Caenorhabditis elegans: one gene and its partner. The protein of the gene in region 1 purifies or fractionates together with the protein of each later gene. This does not show direct contact. Each region holds a gene or a part of one and is shown on either strand. Other genes may lie near its edges.

Evidence for each region.
Region 2: the proteins of cec-1 (region 1) and C14B9.10 fractionate together in Caenorhabditis elegans (co-fractionation; one large-scale study listed by BioGRID). This does not show direct contact.

What each region holds. Positions count from the first base shown.
Region 1 is NC_003281.10:8,422,169-8,433,217, forward strand, and holds cec-1 (Chromo domain-containing protein cec-1), read left to right. Parts: upstream 1-4,164; 5' UTR 4,165-4,171; coding exon 4,172-4,231; intron 4,232-4,451; coding exon 4,452-4,495; intron 4,496-4,668; coding exon 4,669-5,302; intron 5,303-5,920; coding exon 5,921-6,097; 3' UTR 6,098-6,415; downstream 6,416-11,049. Other genes in the region: sor-1 (Sop-2-related protein 1), read left to right, coding at 1-152, 206-256; ZK1236.1 (Translation factor GUF1 homolog, mitochondrial), read left to right, coding at 7,173-7,397, 7,441-7,569, 7,620-7,784, 7,833-7,981, 8,037-8,976, 9,026-9,355; ZK1236.5 (uncharacterized protein), read right to left, coding at 9,503-9,733, 9,780-9,891, 9,943-10,046; ZK1236.9 (TPR_REGION domain-containing protein), read right to left, coding at 10,460-10,635, 10,682-10,787, 10,837-10,939, 10,992-11,049.
Region 2 is NC_003281.10:8,125,123-8,135,843, reverse strand, and holds C14B9.10 (Complex III subunit 9), read right to left. Parts: upstream 4,993-10,721; 5' UTR 4,980-4,992; coding exon 4,851-4,979; intron 3,627-4,850; coding exon 3,573-3,626; 3' UTR 3,408-3,572; downstream 1-3,407. Other genes in the region: C14B9.2 (putative protein disulfide-isomerase A4), read right to left, coding at 48-1,611, 1,979-2,169; rpl-21 (Large ribosomal subunit protein eL21), read left to right, coding at 5,625-5,866, 6,010-6,253.

The DNA of each region.
Region 1 (11,049 bases):
ATAGAAAGAAGAAATCAATTGATCAGGTTATGAATCATATACATCGAATGCATAGTCAACGCCCACCAAGCATGGGAAACTCTTCCACATCTTCTGAAGCTTCATCTACCAGTCCAACAAATGCTGCAACAGCGACCAGTTCTCCAGCATCGGTATGTTAATTTTCTAGGAATTTTGGAATTATTTTAAATTCAACTTTTTACAGAACCGACCAACGACTTCTACAGCACAACCACCAACTTTAAATCCAACATAAATTTTAATTCAATATAAATTTGTAAATAATTATGTTTGTTACCAAACCATATTTTGTGTACCTCTTCCGTTTTTTTCCTCTGTCGGGTTTTTGCTTTTGTCTTATTTTTTACGCTTCTAGTAGTAGTGATCTTAAAACTTTGCTCTCATTTACCTATTTTTAGATGAGTTAGTTTCTTTTTTTGTCTGTTTTACACAATCATCACACAATAAACATTTTATTTGGAGAATCGTTATGCGAAGCGTCTGAAAACAAGAACAGTATTTAAGAAAGCAAGTAGCAATGAAGCAATTTTATAATTGGACCAGCACCAATATACTTTCAACCGGATGGTTGTGAAAATTTAAATTTTGAACTACCGCGCCAATCAGAATGTTTCCACCAATAACCAACTAAGCACGCAAAAAAGTTTCTTTTTTCAATTTGTCGATTTTTTGGTTACTACGAATTGATCGATATAATACAATAATTCCAAAAATATTGGCAGATCACATAAAATCCGCAGATTCATAAAATCTGTGTACTTCCTTTTGTAGATAGCACACGTTGATTTGTCAATCCAGATAATTTATAACTAAGCTTACAGAAGTTAGCAGTAGTATTTCATTTATTCCCAGATCCCTAATTCTGATAGTCAGCAAAAATTGGTAAACTTTTTTTTGGCAAAACTTAAATTCTTATACAATCTTGCAGAACAAACTTTTCATTAGAATTTTCAGGTAACGTCGATCAACTTGAACATTTTGCTATTGTGGTTAACCAATAGGATCTGCATAGGAAGATATTGCTTGTTGAGAAATTACTTGCACAAACTGTTCAACTAGCTAAAGTTTGTGGAACAATTGATAAATTTTATGGATATGACGTTTTAACGGATTGCCAAACTAATCGATATGTGATACATTTGAATAAACTTAAACTCTAAAATTCTAAAGTTTTAAGCTACACCGATATTACTATAGTGCGAGGACGTGCTAATAGTAAGTTGTGGTAAATATTTTAAGAATTCTTTTGATGTGGCAGCTGTGAAACAGACAACAATGAATATCCAACTAGTTAAATCTACAATTTCAATATTTGTAATCATTCTTGGATTGGTCAGAGACCCACATTGTTTGAGATTCTTTCAATATCAAAAGTAGCAAAATATTAGTCGGAAATTTTCATTAAAAAATCAATACATGTATAAAGTTTTCACTCAAAAGGACCAGGCAATTTGATGCCATTTTCCCTGTTGAAATTCTTAGTAGTGTGTAAAGTTAAAACTACCGATAAAATCTGGTTGAAAACTAAATCTTCTTGGAATATTCAATAAAAAGTCAAACGAAACAAAAGTAGTTGAATTATAGATTCAAGACTATTCCGAAATGTTTTGAATCATAAAGTCATAATTGCTACAATTATTTAATTATACGTTTTTGGGCGTCTTATTTTATTTTTAAAATTTGATATCTGAAATCTCATATTTTGTTTGTTCAACATGTGATGTTTCTCAGAGCCTTTGGGCATTCTATAGATGCTTTCGTACGAGAAGTAATGATAGCGTCAGAAAAATCGGGATTGATATCAAGAATTTGTTCAGTAAGTGGCAATCAAAAAATATTTGGCTCAACTGTGACTCAGATAACATACCGTACTTTTATCGCCCGGCATAAATTGTAAAATATTCCTATAGATTGAATACGGTATTATCCGCATGACAGAAGTATGCGCGTAAAATGTAGTATCAACTTTAGATGTCTTCGGAATAACATCATGTCTTTGAAAGAGCTTTTTCCATAAGTACAGTAATCCCATTACGTTTCTTACAGTCAACAAACCCAGAGTGGAAACAACAACTTTCCAACGATTATAGCATAATTCGTAAATTGTATCGGAGGAGTTGTAACTCTCCATACTCCATTTATAAAATGAAGTCATACCTGATATTGTTTCTGAGAAAATTTCACACTTTGTTTCTTGATAAAATTTGATATTTTTTATGTTTTTTGGAGCACCAAAACTACTGAATTCTTAACACACATCTGGTTTCTGAATAAGTTCCGCGTAGTATGTCTGTTTAAGCATCAAAATAGCTCAATTTTGTATTATTTTACTAAATTTTTGGCTAAAAAATCACTTGTTTTAGTCAAAATTGTACTGTCAAATTTTTGACGTGTGCGGCAAATTTCGAAAAATTCGGCAAATCTACTTTTTTGAAATTTGCCGTGCTCGGCAAATTCGGCAAATTTGGCAAATTTGCCGCACACCCCTGCTCCACACAATCAATTTTTCAACTTTATCAAGCTTGTTTCAGTTTCCGTAAGATTTTCGCATCTCCCAGGTTCTCTGAATTCGTCTTTCAGATCAAAACCTATTTGGAATTGACTACACAGTTTAGCCAAAGTTGTCACAAAAAATTTCGAAAATTGCCAGAGTTGCCGAACATCAGAATTTTCGTCAGCCGACTTTTGGCTAAAACTTGCGGCAGCTGCTGAAAAGCCAGACAGCCCTGTTCTGTACATAGAGTGACAGGAGTCTTTGTCCGTGTGAACTCTGTACTGTGAAACGTTAAATATTGAAATTAATCGGTTCGGTATAAAAGTATTGACTTTTTCAAAAAACTACAGTAACCCAACCAGTTGTAGAAAATACTCAATTGTTAGTGTAAACAGCTAGAAATTTGCAGCCGTGTGATGATCATCTGATGCGTCTCTCCCTTTCTCTTTTTATATTTCATATTTTCCCACCCCCTTTTCTCTCTATAAAATGCCATGTCAACCTATTGGGAAAAAGCAATAGACGTGCGAGAAAACAGAGAAAAGCACTGTGCTGTCCGTCAGTGAGGGGCTGCCTGCGTGGCCGGACAGCGAGAAGACTAGAGCCCGACTGCGAATAGTGTGTCAGAGCAAGAGGAGCAGACGCTGTCGAAGGTTATACACTATGGAAAGAGCGGACAGAAAAGAGAAAATAGACCTCCATCACACACAGAGAGACACAGCCCACATACACACAAACAAACCAAGGCGATGTCGTCGTCTTCTTCTCCTTATTTCATTCTCGTATAACTCTCTCACTGTCTTCCCATCTCTGTTAACTTGTCAAAATTTTCTCTAGTGCCAAAAAAACATTATTTTTTAATAGCAAAAAAAAAGTTTAAAATTTTAATAATTCTAGTGGTAATATACAGTCAAAATGGTAAATTTCCATAGTCACCACAAAAATGTAGTAAAAAAACATTTCAACAAAATTATTTTTTATCCAAAGTAACAAAAATCTTAAGGTTTCGAAAGTTCGAGGTGACGAACAGTACACAAAAGCTAGTGCAAACCTTTTGATAACCATTTTTCAAAATTTTTGTAAATTTTATGTTTTGTTGTTGCGATATTTGTATATGTTATTTTCGAAGCATTCTCATAATATATTTTTAAAAAACCCCTACATTCTAGAATGTGTTTTTTCTACAATTTTTTAGATTTAATGTAGTTCAAAAATGGTTTTTTCTCTTTTTCATTTTTATTTTGAAATTTCTTACAGGAGCAGTTTTCCAAACATACTCCGAAACTCAAAATGGCAGTAGTACCATCAGATTTTAGAAGGCTTTCTTTGATTCCTGAGGTATACTGCCTAAATATATTTTCCTTGAAATTTTCATTGCTCATGTTGTAATTTTAGTATTGTTTGAAATCCTGTTGCAACCCTGGTGGCTTTTAGTCAAAAAAAAAATAAAAATTATACAAATTATGTTAAGCCAGATATAACCATTTTAACTTTAGTCATTTTTATGTTCTACATTACATTTTAGCTGTTACTATTAAATTCTATCAAAATTAGCAACAACTTTAATAGAGAAAATTTTAAAACGTTTCAAGTTTACCACTCAATTTTTTTTTCACTTTTCCACTTATTTACCAACACCAATCTAATTGTAGAACCATGGCCGACGGATCAGAGCTCTACACCGTCGAGTCAATTTTGGAACATCGCAAGAAGAAGGTAATTAAGTTCAACTTTTACTTTTTTTTTCCTGCCTGGCACTCAGCCAAGTCATTCTTCTATCCTTCTCTAGTTTTTTTTTTGCAAACGCGTAATCAAGTTTGAGAGACGCAGAGACAAATAAACATAGGGAACGTTCGGTTTGAGATGGATTGGGAGAAATTGAAGAGAAAATAAAATGGCAAGATATATTTGAAATATGTAATTAACGATTTTGCAGGGAAAGAGCGAGTTCTACATAAAATGGCTCGGATATGACCATACGTAAGTTTTCTCTCTCGAATTTTTTCCAAAACATTTTCATAAAGTTTTTTGAAGCATATTTTTTTGATTCAATTAGTTATTCCAAATTATACCCATTTTCAGTTTTGAAAATTCCAGAAAATTTTAGTTATTTTTATTACAGTCTTGTTTGGACTAAATCGTGTAATTTTCAGTCACAACAGCTGGGAACCAAAGGAGAATATAGTCGATCCAACACTAATTGAAGCGTTCTTCACGCGAGAAGCAGCTCGTAAAGCAGAAATCAAAGCTAAAAAAGATAAAATGGCTGCTGGAAAGAAGGGTGCATCTTCGAAAGCTTCTGCTTCAGTAAGCAAAGCATCTGCTTCAACTCCTGCTCGTGGAGCTAAAGCTGCTCCAAAACCCCCACCCAAAAAATCCCCACCAAAGAGGCAGAGACTAGCAGGAGGTGATATCCGACCAGATAGTGATACGGATGAAGAACATTCTTCAGCTGATAAGAAATCAAAAGCAGAGGATGAAGAAGAAGTTGAAGATGATGAGGAGCCAGTGCCAAAGAAAAAGAAGGAGGTTCAAGAAGAACCTGAAGAAGAAGAGTCTGTAGAAGGAGAAGATGAGGAAGAATCCCAAGAGGTTGAGGATTTGAAGGAAGATGAAAAAATGGAAGAAGACGAGAAAGAAGAAGAGGAGGACGTACAATTAGAATCAGAGAAAAACGAGAAAGAAGAAGAAGAGGAAAAGGTGGAGGAAAAGAAAGAAGAGGAAGAGGAAGAAGAGGAGGAAGAGATTCAATTGGTTATTGTAGAGAAGACGGTCATTGAGACTACGGTATGTCATTTCATTTTTTATTACTTTTCTACTTTAACTGCTAATATTTTGGTGTTCGTTAGCTTTATCAAAACAATAAACTTTCAACAAATATTTTTAATAGTGTAAGTTTTTGAAAAAGCAAGTCAACTGATGTAGGAGAAGTCAAAGTTGAGGAATATGGGTAGAATACTGTACTTCTTAAATAATTTATATAATTTGAATACGGTTTTTAGAGAAATTTTCATATTTTTCCCCTCTAAGTACGTCTTAACCAAGTTGCCGGTTTCCGAAAAATTGACAAGTTCTACAACCCGACAAATTCTGTGTTCGGCAAATTCAGTGATTTTCAGTTTCCTAAAAATTTCAGCGTTAAGTAATATTGCTGGAAGGTTTATTTGCCGCACATCCTTGTTATTTTTTATCTTTCGGTTGTTTTTGAGCTGATTAAACAATTTTAATACCGAAGTATTGAAAAAACGTAAAACATAACTTTACTTAAAATTATGTTTATCTTTATTCAAAAATATGAAATTTTGCGATAAAAAGTTTTCCGAAATGCTACGACTTTTAAGAGCTATTTTTGAACGTACTTTAAAGATAATATTCCTTATAAAACTTAAAATAAAAATGTTTCAGATAGTGGAACCAGCTGTAGCTACTCCCGAGCCATCCGAGCCATCGTCTTCTGAGAAGGCTGTAGTAGAAAATGGATCTTCTTCTGCTGCTGCAGGAAATTCTGCTTCAAAACCAGAAGTTTCTGCCGTAGAAGTCGTCACAGTTGAAGACGACGATGATATTGCAATTATCGAATGAACAAAATATAAATAAAAATCAATAATCACTGATTCTCTATTATGTGTTTTATGAAAAATCTCTCTGTCTCTCTAATTCCCTTCATCATCCTTTCACTCGTTTCAACTCACTCTCAATATTATCATTTAACTTAAATCTTATTTTTCTGTCATCTCTTAAATTTGTTCCAGATAACCAAAGTCTTTAATCAGAAAATCATTATTTTGTCTATGTCACTCATTCAACATCAGTCGCCGTCGCCCTCACCCAAGAAAAAATTCCATGTTACAATTTTATTTACTGCATTTTTTTGAAATAAAATAAATACAAATATTATCGATTTGGAAAAGGCATAAACATTACAGAGAAGCACTGACACAAATTTCCAACAGAACAGTGTTGGTCTACCAAAAAACAAAACATAAAAATTCGGTATTTGATGAGAAAGAGGCTTATATATTACGGGAACACACAATTTTGAGAATATGTATTGTGCAATTAATTTAAAGTGCAAAATATCCAGTATCGAAAACTACAGCAATTCTTTACTTGTGTCAATTCGATGGAAGGGGAACAATTGAGAGAAATGTAGAAATGTCAGAGTAGAACAAAAAAAGTTAAGCTTGAACTGAAAATCTTAATAGTTATTATAATCGTGCAATGGTAACAAACATATAACTCCTTAATTTCTGGAGCCAAAATAGCGGCAGTGAGAGAGAAAGTGGAAAGCTCACCGAGTGAAAAAACATTCAATAACTGGAAACTTTGCCCCGCCCCTTTTCTTGGATTGTATAGAGTTGATCCACATTTTCCCCAGAGATAGCTAGAATTTGAACTCAAAGAACACTTGGAAATACTTTTTCTATTAAATGAAATATCAATTTTCATATATTTCTCTATAATTCACATTAATAATGAAGAAAAGTTGTCATTTTACAATTTCTAGGCCTGTGAAAAAATTTTCTCGTCACACAATGTCTGCGCCTCTCATCTCTCTTTTTGTATGACAGTAGAGCGCTTTTGTGACTTTTTAATTAGAAGAAAATTTTAACCAACAAGGTTATTTATCTTTAAACTTATCTATTTATATTACAGAATGCCTCGGCGGCGTCTATTAAAATTATTATTTATTGGAAAATTACGGGTTTCATGTAAACATTATTCAACCGCCGGCGACCCAACAAAATTGGTAAATCTCAGCGAATTTACACCGGATAAAATTCGAAATTTCGGAATTGTTGCACATGTTGATCATGGAAAATCAACGCTGGCCGATCGGCTTCTAGAAATGTGTGGTGCGGTTCCCCCAGGACAAAAGCAGGTTTTTAACTTTTTTACTTCAACTATTTCAAGTTTTATTTTAGATGCTGGACAAATTACAAGTTGAACGGGAACGAGGAATTACTGTAAAAGCTCAAACTGCAGCTTTACGACATCGTGGATATCTTCTGAATTTAATTGATACTCCCGGACACGTAGATTTTTCAGCAGAGGTTAAAAAAAGAATTAGCAAATCTCTAGAAAAAATCGAATCAATTTTCAGGTTTCCCGAAGTTTAGCAGTATGTGATGGTATTCTTCTACTCGTGGCTGCAAATCAAGGTGTTCAAGCTCAAACTATTGCGAATTTTTGGCTAGCCTTCGAGAAAAACATTCAAATTATTCCAGTTATTAACAAGATTGATCTTCCTGGAGCAGATATCAAGTCAGTGAGTTAGTTGATGTTAAAAATTTATTTTAAAGTTTTAAAACTTCAGGTTGAGACTCAACTGAAGAATTTGTTTGAATTCAATCCAGAAGAATGTCTTCACATTTCTGCAAAATCTGGGTTGAATGTGGATAAAGTTTTAGAAGCTATAATTGACCGTGTTCCAGCACCCACAGCAATTATAGACGCTCCTTTTAGGTAAGTTTAAACTAATTATTCTTTAAAAGCAATTCAAAATTTAAAAAAATTCCAGATCAATGATTTTCGATTCGTATTTCGATCATTTTCGCGGAGCAATTGCACATATTATGGTAAAAGAAGGTTCTGTGAAGAAAGGAGATAAAATTCAATCATATCAAAATGAGAAAGTATATGATGTATCAGAAGTTGGAGTGATGCGACCAGAAATGGTAAAATGCACAGAATTAAGAGCCGGTCAAGTTGGATATCTGGTGTGTAATATGAGGACAGTTAACGAAGCTGTGGTTGGAGAGACACTTTTCGCTGAAACAACTTCTCGGGATTCTGTAAAAACATTCGCTGAAATTAAAGGAGTGAAACCAACCGTATATGCTGGCTTATTTCCAGTCGAAACATCAGATTATGAAAGTCTAAAACAGGCTGTGGAACGATTATGCCTTAATGATCCTTCGGTTACTGTAATTCCCGATTCAAGCAAAGCACTTGGACTTGGATGGAGAATCGGGTTTCTTGGTGTTTTACACATGGAAGTTTTCGGAGCTCGTCTATCACAAGAATACGATGCAAGTGTGATCCTTTGCCAACCAAGTGTAGAATATCGAGCGAAGATTAAGGATAATGAGACGATTCGAAAAAAGCGGTATGATGGAATGGAGGAGATTCGAATTCTTGATCCAAGCAAGTTCCCCGATGAAAGTGATGTAGATAGCTTCCTAGAACCAATGGTAAAAGTCCGAATGATTGTTCCAAATGAAATGATGGGTACTGTCAATGGATTGTGCTCCGAATGTCGTGGTGAACGAGGAGAGATCACATCGATCGATTCGACTCGTCTCGTGATCCTTTGGAGGCTTCCACTTGCAGAAGTTGCTGTTGATTTCTTTGAAAGACTCAAGAAATTGACAAGTGGATATGCATCGTTTGACTATGAGCCCGATGGATGGCAGGATACTCGGCTGGTGAAACTTACAATTCTTATCAACAGTAAAGAGGTGGGAATTGGTTTTGTTTTAAAATTTTATCATTAAAATTTAATTTAAGGTCAGTGAATTCTCGCAAATCATACCAGCGGCAATGGCGAGAGATCGTGCAAAGATCTTAGTTCAACGTCTGAAACGAGAAATTCCACGACAGCAATTTGAAGTTACAATTAAAGCTTGCATTGGTTCCTCAACGAAAGCATTATCTCAAATTGTTATCCAGCCAATGAAACGAGACTTCTCGCAGCTATTGAAGGGAAACTTTGGTGGTGGAGGAATGGAACGACTCAATAAGAAACTCAGTCATCAGAAGAAAGGAAAAGAGCGGATGAAAATGGTTGGAAATGTGCAGATTCCTAAAGAAGCGTTCCTAAATGTTCTTAAGAGATAGTGTTTTTAAATATTTAGATACTAGAGTGTGTAGGTTAATTGTTTATTCTTGTTTTCATTTTTGTTTTTTTTGTTTTAATATAACAATTTTAAAGGTTTTTATTGTTCACTACAACAAAACTATAATTACAACAATTAAAAGATTCGCTCAGTCCCATCGTTTTCTTGCCGCCAATCCAGCTAAAGAATCTTCAACAGTTGTGTGGGTATGAAGAAGATTTCCAACATTAGCTTTCTTCCTGATAGTCGACTTGGAACCTTCCGTATTTTTTGGTTTTCCGGGCATTCGCTGTTCATCAAGCTTTTTGTATTCTTTTGCTCGCAGTTCTTCCAACGATTTCACATTCTTTTCAGTTTCCAGATACGTCAGTTCTGCATACTATAATTTAAATTATTAGTGATATTTAACTATCAATATAACTAACCGCTGTCGAATACGGGCGAGTGAGAAGATTCATCACAATTTGCTCTCTGGCAAGCCTCTCCCGTAGAATATTGACGCGATTTGCGGAAACTGGATAGTCTGGACGTCCGGTGCTGAAAATCAAGTTTTCGATTTGAAATTATTAAAATTCATTAAGAACATACGCTTTTTGTTGAGGAAGAATCGGTCCTCGGTATCCGACCTCCCAAATACGACGATTCCAATGACGTGTGTTGAGATTTCGATATAGAGCGCGGGATAATTGCATCTAAAACCATAAAATCAGTAAATTTAGACAAAATTAACAAGAAAAACACAGTAATCTAAAAGAAATCACCGAAAATACATATTCGGAGCAAAAATGAATAAAACAGAGATGTAGATTTACGATAAAGAGAGCGCGCTGTCGTTACTTCGGAGCGTCGTTGGAAATATTTTGGAATTTTGCCAAAGAAACTAAAAGTTGATGTAAAACATAGATCAAATAAAGTTCGAAATATGATTGAAACCTGATTCACATTTATTATTGTTCTGAGAAACCATGCGAAATAACAAATACCCTTTCTGGCCTAAAATATTCGAAATAAAAGTTAAATACGGCAACAAGTTGAGGAATTTGGGAAATAATTAGTGGAAAATGGCATTATTTACATAAATTTAAAAGACAAACGAATAAATGTTCTATAAGCTCCTAAGATGTGATCCAGCAGATCCGCCTCTCCTCGAAACATTTAATTCATTTATCAACATTTTGAGAGATGACAGCCAATACCAACTTTTTGCTATTTCATTTGGAATTTTCTTGCAAAATTGATCATAGTAGTTCATCGCTTCTTGATATTTCTCAAATTCAAGAGCTGAAAAATAATTTATTAATTTGAAAATAATCTTGTGTATTCTTACAATCAACTACATAATTCAGACTTTTTATAAGTTCATCTGATAATTTTTCTTCACTGATTAATTTTGCCAGAGAGCCAAATCTTAACTTAATGCCTTCAGCTTTTGTCTGAAAGTAGATGATTTGTATATATTCATTTAATTTATTTATTTAAAACCTGTTTATCCTTCATCTCTCGGAGCCTTTCAGCAGCTTTATATAGAAATGGCATAAGCTCTTCTCCACTCAGGTCAACCTCTCCTTGAGCTTTTTTCACCACTCTGAAACAAGAAAAAATAATTTCCAAAGTCTATTGAAAACCAAAAACTGTACCTTCCAGTTTGTTGATTTATCGATGAAGTTGGCTGTTCTACATAGTTTGGCAGTGTGA
Region 2 (10,721 bases), 300 kb from region 1:
TATGAATCATAGCTTCTGAACGAGTTTTTTTTCAAATTATATTTTACCTTCTTTCCAGCTGGAGCAAAGTAGATAGTTGGGAAGCCTTCAACTGCGAACTGGCTTGGAGCATCGTTAATCGTGGCGTCCATCTTGGCGAGAACAACATTTGGCTGGGTCTTCTTCAAAGCTTGAGCCAATTCAACGTATTTTGATTCAAAGCTCTTGCAATGTCCACACCATGGAGCATAAAACTCAATAAGTACATCCTTTGATTCATCATTGACAATCTTATCAAAGTTGGATCCAACAACGGTTTTAACTGGTCCCTTATCATCTTTTGGAGCTGGAGCACTCTTCACGTGAGCCTTGGCCTTTCCACTACTGATTTGTTTCATGAATGCTTCAAGATTCTCATCAAGTTCTCCATCAAACTCATCTGGATTCATTGGATATTTCTTTCCATCATAACCAAATACAACTACATTATGCTCAAGTCCAGAATCTCCAAGTCCAAGCTCTTCAAGTTCTTTGGCAAACTCCTCTTCATCAGCAACAGCGAACTTGTACTTGTCCTTTTGATATTTCTGAGCAATATTCAAAACTTTGGATCTCCAGTATTCACTTCCTTCTCTATATTGAACGGAGAAATCAGCATTATAATATACAACAACCAATGGTTTTTTCGTGTATCTTGTTGCTGCGTTCTTCTTGGTCATTTTTCCAACAAGTGGTGCAGAATGTTCACGGAAGAAAGCCAAAAGATCCTCTGATGTGGCAGCAGCCTTGTTGTATGTTCTGCTCTTTGGCTCAAATTTGCTGTGGAACAGAGATGGATAGAAGATAATAATGTCATTTGGCTTGGCATCCCACTTCTTGAATGCAGCTGGATCTGATGTATGTCCCATTGTTTTGAACTCTTCACGGAGCATTTCAGCGGAATCAGAGAATGCTTCGAATGCAGTTGAGTCTTCGGTGGCAAAGAATCCAATAATAGTGACGTCATCTTTGCTCATGAATCGTTCGACATCCTTCAGTTTTGGCAATTTCTTAGCAGCTGGCTTCGATTGATCAGTCATGTACTTGATGATTCCAGCAGCCTCTCGTGGTCCGTTATAATCAAATCTTCTTCCATTTCTGATGATCTTCATTGTTGGGTATCCACTGACTCCATACTTGGTTCCAAGATCCTTCTCAATTGTAGCATCAACCTTTCCTAGCTTAACCTTTGATCCTTGAGCCTTCAACTTTTGGGCAGCCTTCTCATATTCTGGAGCCAACTTCTTGCAATGTCCACACCATGGAGCATAGAATTCAACAAGAACCAACTCGTTGTTGGAAATGAAATCATCGAAATTTTCAGTTGTCAAAGTAACCACCTCCTCTGGTGGTGGCTTATAATTTGGATCAACTCTCGACTCAACCCATTCAACAATTCCAGCTTCATCTCTACCTCCATCATAATCGTTTGGACCTTTTCCATCTTTCCAGAATTTGAGAGTTGGATATCCTTGAATTTCGAATCTCTTTCCGAGTTCTGTTTCGACGGTTGCATCGACTTTGGCCAGTGGAATTGACACTTTTGAAGATGCTTTCTCGTATTCCGGAGCCAAGTGCTTGCAGTGGCCACACCTACAAAAATGATAATCAGTGAAAGATTATGAGATTTTGCATCTATGTATTTGTAAAAAAAAATTCCAAAGTTTTAAACTTTTATTATGAAGCGTCTAAAGATGAGAATAGTCGCCATCTCGCCACGCTTCCAACGAGCTACTTCAACTCGTGTAGATTCATAGGCTGCTATTTGTATTTAATTTTAAAATAATAATTAGGTTAGCAGCCCATAAATCAACATGAGTTAATGTAGCTTGTTGGTGAGACCCACTCGCCTACGATATGGCGGAAAATCTCATTTTAGACGTCTACGATAAAAAATCGATTTGAATTTTTCAATTCAATTTTTAGTTTGAAACCAATTTTCTTGATTTTTAAAACTCACCATGGAGCGTAGAACTTCACTAAAACACTTGGATTTTTCTTGAGGAAGGCATCAAAGTTCTTGTCAGTGAGCACAACGACTCCTTCGTCCATTTCGTAGTTCAGCTCATCATCTGAAGCATCTTCCGTGGAACGAACTGCCGATACACAGAGAAGGACGACCAGTGCGAAGAAGCGCCGGTCGAACATCATTTTTGATACCCTGAAAAGCATTTACTTGTTGGAAGAAACAAAATAAAAAGTACGGGAGAAAACGAACAGGGAGCGATAGTATATTAGACAAAAAGTATGTCAATAGCCAGTTGGCTAGTTTGTGCGAAGGGCGACGATAATGAAATGCCTGATACACGTGTACTAAACTGAGAGGCGCAGACCGAAATGGTTGTTTGTACGGGAAAAAGAAAAAATTCCGACGTGGAAATGTGTGGCACAAAATTTAAATATTATCTAGATGCGAGATTTTGCGATTTTTCCCCAAAAATGCGATTCCCGGTCTCGAAACGACTAAACGAACAGTGTGCGTCTTTTAGGGATACTGTAGTTTCCAGCTCATCGTTATTTTCTCCTGTTTCGTTAAATTATATAGAAAAACTACACACTTCGAGGAAAGGGAAGAAACGTTATGAAAAATCAATAAATAAAAATTCAGCGACAGCAAACTAGTTGAAAACTACAGTACTCTTCAAAGGCACACACTCTTTTACATTTATGAGATAATGTCGCTTCGAGACCGGGCAATATCTTTTGTACGACAATCGCAAACTTCCGGATCTCAGTAATACGCCGATAAATATAAATATTGAAAGTATATTCTCGACGTCTGTTTGCACCTGTTGAAATTAAATACATTTTTTCTTTAAAAAACAATTTTGAAGAGTAAAAAGAATTTTAAAAAATACTTTTCTAATTTCCTGTAATAACTAAAATTAAAATGTTGAATTTACGAACGAGGAAATGAAAGGATTCATTGAATCGATAGATGAAACCATACAAAACTAGTGAATGAGAAAAGGAGAGAGAGGTCGCCTATACTCGAGTAGTAACTGCCCTCCCTTCTTATTTCTCCGACTCTATTTGGCCGTCACAGTACGTGGTACGGTCCGACACTCGTCAAATATTATACTGTCATTTTGTGAGATCACCGACGACGGAGCCATATCTGCGTCTCCGTGTCGGCTGATAGTATTTTTTTGATGTTTGCGTGTCCTTTGCCCACAGTTGACCTGCCCTGCCCAGCTCCTTTTTGTCAGATCCTCCGATTCTAATTACTCTCTTTCCGCGTTCACTCTCCTCCATTTTTCAATCAGGCACCGCTTTATCCGGAGGTAAATATTTGCAGTCAGACTCTGTTCGTCGCGGCATCACCATCACAATGCGGAACCATTTCTTGCCAGTTTGCAAACTCATTGGACAAGAGGGACACATTTAAAAATATTACAATCATTCATTGGATCTGGCATATCCAGAAGTTCGCAACAAAAATTTAAAGAAACGGTTCAAAAACCGATAATTTTATCTCGACAAGAAAATAAAGGAGACTATAAAATTGCTAGAAACGCCATCGAAACGGAGCCTGCTCATTCGTCTGCTGAAGTCTATTCCTGAGCCAATTGTTGCTTGATGTCCTTCCATTGCTTGTTGGAGTTTTTCTAAAAAATATCGAAATAGGATAATATACCATTTTGAATATGTTTCTCCAGTCTTTAATTTTTTTGGTTAAAATTCATTTGTTTTTATTATAGAGGAATGCTAAAAACTATAAATATAGTAGTGAAAAAAACGGATTTTTATTTTTTCAATTAAAAATGGCTGTTTTTGTACTCGGTAAACCAGAAAGACAAATTTTCATTCAGAGAAGAACGGAAAAATGTGTTTCATTTTCTGGTCGAAAACGTGATATTAAACTGTATATCCTTTCGGATGATTTTTTCCAGTTTTAAAATCAATTTTTCAATTTAAAAAATTTTTGGAAAGAGTTAAATTTTTGTGAAAAGTTCAGATGATTGTAGATAATTAAAATTAGAAAACTGCATTAATCGAGTTTTTAAATAGTAGTTTTTGAGTATTTCCAAAATTGAAAAATGGGAAAAAGCACAATTATAGAATACAGATATACTTTTTTTTAAATTTCGAATTTTAACTAGTTTTTATGGGTTTTTAACCGAAAAACAAGAAGAAAATTTTGTTTTTCAAAACCTCAGAAAATCGAAAAATCAAAATATTTCGTTTTTTGGTTTTACAATATTTATGTAACGGTGCATCGAACAAAACTTTGTATAAATTAGTGTGTAGACCAAAATACACATATTGAATTCGGTACCAGAATAATTTATTTTGGAGTTTTTTCAAAAACTTGTCGGTTTCGTTAAAAAAAACGATTTTGTGCATCTCTCTCGTTTTTCCAAATAGCCAAATTACTAAAATTTCTGTGTAAACTAATTGTAAGGAGGAAATTAAAATATAAATTTTATGTTTTGGCAACTATACAATTTTTATAAACATGAAAATGTCAAAAATGCGATTGTCAGGATTTTCAGAGATGAACCCGAAGCGAATCGTTTTTATTGGAGATAGTTTTTACACTTCCAGTTTTCGGAAGGTTCATTCATCAAAAAAAAAAATGAGTGAAAAGCACTATATTCTGTCATCTTACACTTATGAAAGTTTTGGTTGTCTTCGAAGGGTTATGATTTCTTTAGATCAACGGAAAAGTCCTCATCGAAACTGAAGAAAAAATCAAAAATGGAATCTGATTTTCATTTGAATAAATGTTAAATTCTTGGGGGTTCCAATTGATCAGAACAGATATGAAACAAAAATTCGATTGAAAAATTTCAGTATTTTTCATGTTTCTCATAAAAATTAAAACTCACAGTATCCCAATAGAAGTTGGTGAGCCCTTCCAAAGTGTAGTTGAAGGTGTAGGCTCCGAAGGCGGAAGCCAAAAGGATGGTGGAGAAACGGCGAGAAACGGTGTTGTAGACGATGGTACCCAGCGACATTCTGAAATATACACTACTTTCAATAGATGTAGAATACATACATTAAATAATACAACAAAAATTGAGGAATTTCTACACGGAAATAAAATAATCAAAAGAAAACTGTTTGAAAGATCTTATTCAAGGAATTCAATGATTAATTGCTAGTACTAGATCGAGAAAAATGGGAAAAGTTATTAAAATAAAACTTTGTTATTAGAAAAACCGTCTGAAAAAAAAACCGAATAAAAATGGAGGCGAGAGACGAAAAAACGTGCGGAACTCTTAAGGAGACGCAGCATGTCTGACGGTTTGGTCTCGCAGCGATCTATGGGAAGCGCGACACACTTGAAACGAGTGTTACCGTACTGTGTGCCTTTAAACAATTTTTATGCTACTGGCCTAAAGATTTTTTCTCTTTTTTTCCGTAAAAACTGTGAAAAATAGTGAAATTTTCGTCAATTTTTATGCCTCTGTGTAAAAACTTGCTAATCTTTCTAGTATTTAACGAACTCTGCCTTAGTTTTTGCTGAAATATGTTCAAAAAATCGATTTTTCGTTCATGTGCTTTTTTTGTAAATGTTTCTCGGCAAATTGTTTTACATTTTTGTTCCTCGTAGTTCTCTATATTGACACCTCTATCAAAAATTTTTTTCAGGGTTAAATATGACTAACTCCAAGGGTCTCAGACGCGGAACGCGTTACATGTTCGCTCGCGACTTCCGCAAGCACGGAGTTGAGCACCTCTCCACCTACTACACCCAGTACAAGCGCGGAGATCTTGTCGATATCAAGACCAATGGAGCTTTCCAAAAGGGTATGCCATTCAAGGCTTACCACGGAAGAACCGGAAGAATCTTCAACGTCACCAGAGGAGCCGTCGGAATCATCGTCAACAAGAGAGTCCGGTAAGTATTTGAGTTTGAATGACACCTAAAACAATGCTAGCATGCTGACAATTTCATTTTCGAAAGTAATTATGATAGTCTTTTTCAATTTTGAAAAGCAATCTAATCCAACTCATTTTGACTGAAATGACTGATTTTTTCAGCGGAAACATTCTTCCAAAGAGAATCAACATCCGTATCGAGCACATCAAGCCATCCAAGTGCAGAACCGACTTCTTGAACCGTGTCAAGTCCAATGACGAGAAGAGAAAGGCCGCTAAGTCAGCTGGACAACCAGTCCCAGCTTTGAAGAGACTTCCAGTCGCCCCTAGAGGAGCTCACACCGTCACCACCCAGAACAATGAGCCAGAACTTCTCGCCCCACTCCGTTTCGAGATTGTTGCGTGATTTCTTGTTTATAAACTGTTTGTTATAAAGTTGTTGCTTGATTCATGCGTAAAATTTTCTCTGAAAAAAACAGGGTGATTTGCTAACTTCAGTTTCTCAACAATTAGTGATAATTTTTCTACCAATCTTGGCTTCTTTACAATTTCCTAATGGGGTTATTCAAGTAATGTAGCAAAATGTATTTAAATACATTTGTGACGTCGCAAATGTATTTAAATACATGTTTTCATCTACTTGAATAAGGTTGTGACGTAATTTTTCTACACTTTTTAATTTTCCGACACTACTTGAATAACCCCATAATTTTTAAGAATTTATCTAAAAATGAACCCTTACACTTGGTTCTCAAAATACGACGTCTTCGCCGACAGTTATAGAAACTCTGAAAATAATCCTATCATGCTTTGCGTTTTAAAATTCATTTTCCAAGCGTTGTATGTTTCAGAGACCCCCGTGAATTACCTTTTTGAAGGTGGCCTATCACTTGTGTGTTCATTGTCTTGAACTAGCATCTCGGGAAAACGAAATTCTGTGAATCGTATTGCGCAAAATATCACGTAGCGAAAACTACAGATATTCTTTAAAAGACTACTGTAGCGCTTGAGTCGATTTACGGGCTTGATTTTCAAAATTAATTAATATCATTGATCCATCGATAGAGTATTAACATTAGTCAAAAAAAAAAACGAAGAAACGAAGAAAAGTGGAATATCGCTGGCACTATTCTAAAATAAATTCATTTAAAAAATCCATCCCGTTAATCTACACAAGCGCTACAGTAGTCATTTAAATAAGTACTGTAGTTTTCGCTACGAGATATTTTGCGCCTCAAATATGTTTCACACCCAGTATTTTGTGTCAATACGGTAATAAGAATATAAAACGAAACTAGGAAAAAGTCCCAGGAAGTTTTTAGACTGGAAATTTCATAAAATCTAAAAAATTTTCGATTATTTTATTATGGTATTCGGTCATTTTGGATCAGGAAAGTTTTAATTTTCAGACATAAGGGGCATCATTGGTTTTAATGAGCTTCATACCGTTTCTGAAATATTCCTCAAGTTGTTAAACGTATCGCTATAATTGTAATGTTTAAACAGTACAATCTGAAATCATAGATTTCCAGGATTATCATATGTTTCTTCATTCCCTCCTTCCATTTTTGATATATTTTCTTCTTTTCCTTTTAGTCACACAGGCGGAAAATGTCCTTGGCGAGGCGTGTATGTTTATCTGTGTCTCTTTTCCAACGAGAAATGCTTTAAACGTTGTAGAAAAGTGAGAGCAGCGGTCTCCGTAGAGCAAAGCAAAAAACAACAAGAGAAGATATTAAGCAACATGATGTTCCTCTGAAGTACGAAAATTGTGATGATGCATCTAATTTCCTATACTGAAACTAATTTCTAATCAGTCGACTCAACGAAACAATGTTTTCAAAAAATACGAGAACAGTCAATAATATACCGAGTGAAATATCAAGTGTTTGCATTCCAAAAAACGAATCGCTGGCTCATGTTTATCATATCACATACGTCACATTGAAACTAGATTTTTACAGATTAACGTTCACAATGAAGCCATGTAATTAAAAAGGGATAGAATTTTAAAGGACAAGCCACAATTTTTGCTTATTATTAGAAGGTATTCCAATTGAACATTATTGTCGGTGATAAATTGTAATGTTATTTTGACCACAGTAATTTTCCAAATTAATTTATCGTAAAGGTGGAGTTCGAAAAATGGGAATTTGACTCAAAAATACTCGATAGATACCGAAAGGCTGAAATACTACAAAAGAAGAATGAAAAAATAATCAGGTATGATTGAAAAGTTTCCAACTCTCGCTATTCCCCATGTTTGAACTTCTTCCAAAATAAGACCTGCAACCAATCAGCGATTCGATCGGCCCATTTTTGAACCAATCAGATGGAGTGTGCATCTCTGTTGATTTTGGTACATTTTCAGTCCATAGAGTCCAATTTTGGCGGTTTTTGAATACCTATTGACTGAAAATGTACAAAAATCAATTTTTACGCTACATAAGTTACCAAAAAATGCGATGTGATAATTTTAAAAAGGTTCAGTTGCTACGATAAGGCATGAAGTCATGTAGATGAAATTTCAAGTTTTCACGAAATGGGGAGTTTGAAATAATCTTAAGATTCCCTTCCAAGGCCTTCCCTATCGTAGGCTTTTCTTCAAAGTTCAATGATCAGAAATCAATTTAGCTATATTCCAATATTTAACTTACTTAATAAAACCCCTACCTATTCTGATTACAAACAATTTTTCTTAATTAGTACGTGGCTCTTTGTAACGTTCAAATTGAGGTCTCCCCCTTATTCCCGTGCACGCCAACCTTCAGCAGCAGGCCTCATCTTGCGCGCGCTCACTCGCGTTTTTCACTGCACCAGCAGGCCATTTTCTGTACTCTCTTCACTATTGACGCTCTCTCGTCCCAGCGCTTACTCGTCGTCCTCGTCCCGCCGTCCGACAACGAATTCAATGTGTGTGTGAGTGTGTGTGTGTTCGCATTGGACCTTTGCAAGTTCATGTACTGTCCTATTTCAGGGACCATCTTTTTGTTTTTCTCTGATATCTTTGTTCTATATATCTCACACTTAAAAATCGTTGTCCGGCTGCTGAGATTGAACAAACAAGTTGATAGAGAAGAGAGATTTGTCGTCACCTCATGTGATATGAAATCAAAGTTTTGATTTGATCAAATTCATGTAGAATTCGATTTCTCGATTCTGTGATATAGCTTCTTAATTATAGAACTCTCGTACTCAGAAAATAGGTATTTTCCATAGTTATTCCAAAACTATATCATAGTTTTAGTTGAACCTATTAATTTGATTTTGAGCCAGCTAATTTGTGTTTCAACGTCCGTTAGAAATATCTTTCTAATATTTGATAGCTTTGTGAAGTCGAATGTTTCGTTAGAGTGTTCTCTTCCATAACCTCTTGAATACCGGAATTGCACTACTAGATGATTGTGATGTCACACTTCCAAAACGATTTCTCTTTATTCTGTAAATATTCTATATGTAGCATGTCTTGTTTTTCCGCAAGTTCGCTTTAATAAGTGTTTGATCCGTCTTTTTTCGAAATCTCGTTTTTAGTGATCTACATATAATCTGCCTCTTCTGTCTGACCCTATTCCTTATTCCTTGAGCCTTGCAGGTTTGCCTTCTTTTTTTTTTGAAACACCACCTGTACCATGACAATTTGTACTAAATACCTTTTTTCTCGTTATGGGTTCATATTTTTCTTTGTTTTTTTCGCTACACGTCTTAATAAAAAATACGCGAACTGCCACGTGGCTACCACGTTTTTCGGGCAACAACTTTTCTATTCTGTCTCTTTTATTTTTAACTGTCAGCGTCTCGTCGGTGGGTACATACCTTTTTTCTCTTTATGAGATATTTTTTTTCTAATTTTTTAAAAGCTAATTTTAATTATACTATTCCAACAAATCGCACGCCAAATATGAATGTCATTTTTCTCAGTTTCTCGTTGTCTTCAAACTCTGCGTATCTTCATTTTAATACAGTGTATCTATATTGCCTCCCTAGTCGACCACCCACTGTCTGCTCTGACGTCTCCTTGATTTTCATTGTCTCTCGTCTAATACACACTGTCATCTAGTTTCCAAATGAATGGTTAAAGATGAGGGGTCTGTCTGAAATAAGTTCACGTTCGAGATCAGTTGGTGCAACTGTTGCAATCTTCAACTGAATTGACCAATAACCCAGTGTGTAATTTTTGCGCCTTCCGGCTCATGTGATTTTATAGCAAACGTTTTGTAGTTTTTATCTGATAATTGAAACCTTTGTTGTCAAATCAATTTTTTGGTTCTGTCTGATTTTCTCCGGTTGAACTCAAGATTAGTTGTATTCAGAATCTTAATAAGACAACAATTATCATGAGTATGCTGAAATGTAAAACTACCTGAAACTTTAGCAAAGCTTCTCCATGGAATGCTATGAACTGCGAACACATTTATAGTTTTTATGATGCTATAATAATCTACAACTTTTACAATTTTATCTCTGATGTCTCCTCAAAATGGTGTGCTATCTGCCATACATAGTGAGACTCAGACATTCTCAATGTCTGGCAACTCCTGTTTCTTCATTCTCTCTATGTGCCACCGCTCTCTGCGTTTATTTGTCAAAGAAACTGCTACTTTGTGTCTGCGTGTCCTCGCCCGACCACTGAAAAGTGGAGAAATTGGGATTTTTTTGGTAATTCAGAAGTGGGAGGGAGGGTAAGCCTTGTTTTCATCTTAATATAAGTAACTCAAATTGCGATGTTATTTTTCTTCTAGTTGATATTATTCTATTTTAAGGCAAAAGAGCTTAAATTGACTGCGCTATTAAATATTATGTTATGCTATTGTTTGAAATGAATTACTATTTTATTAAGAAACGTGTCAATTGATGTGTTATTGAGGCTTGATGTT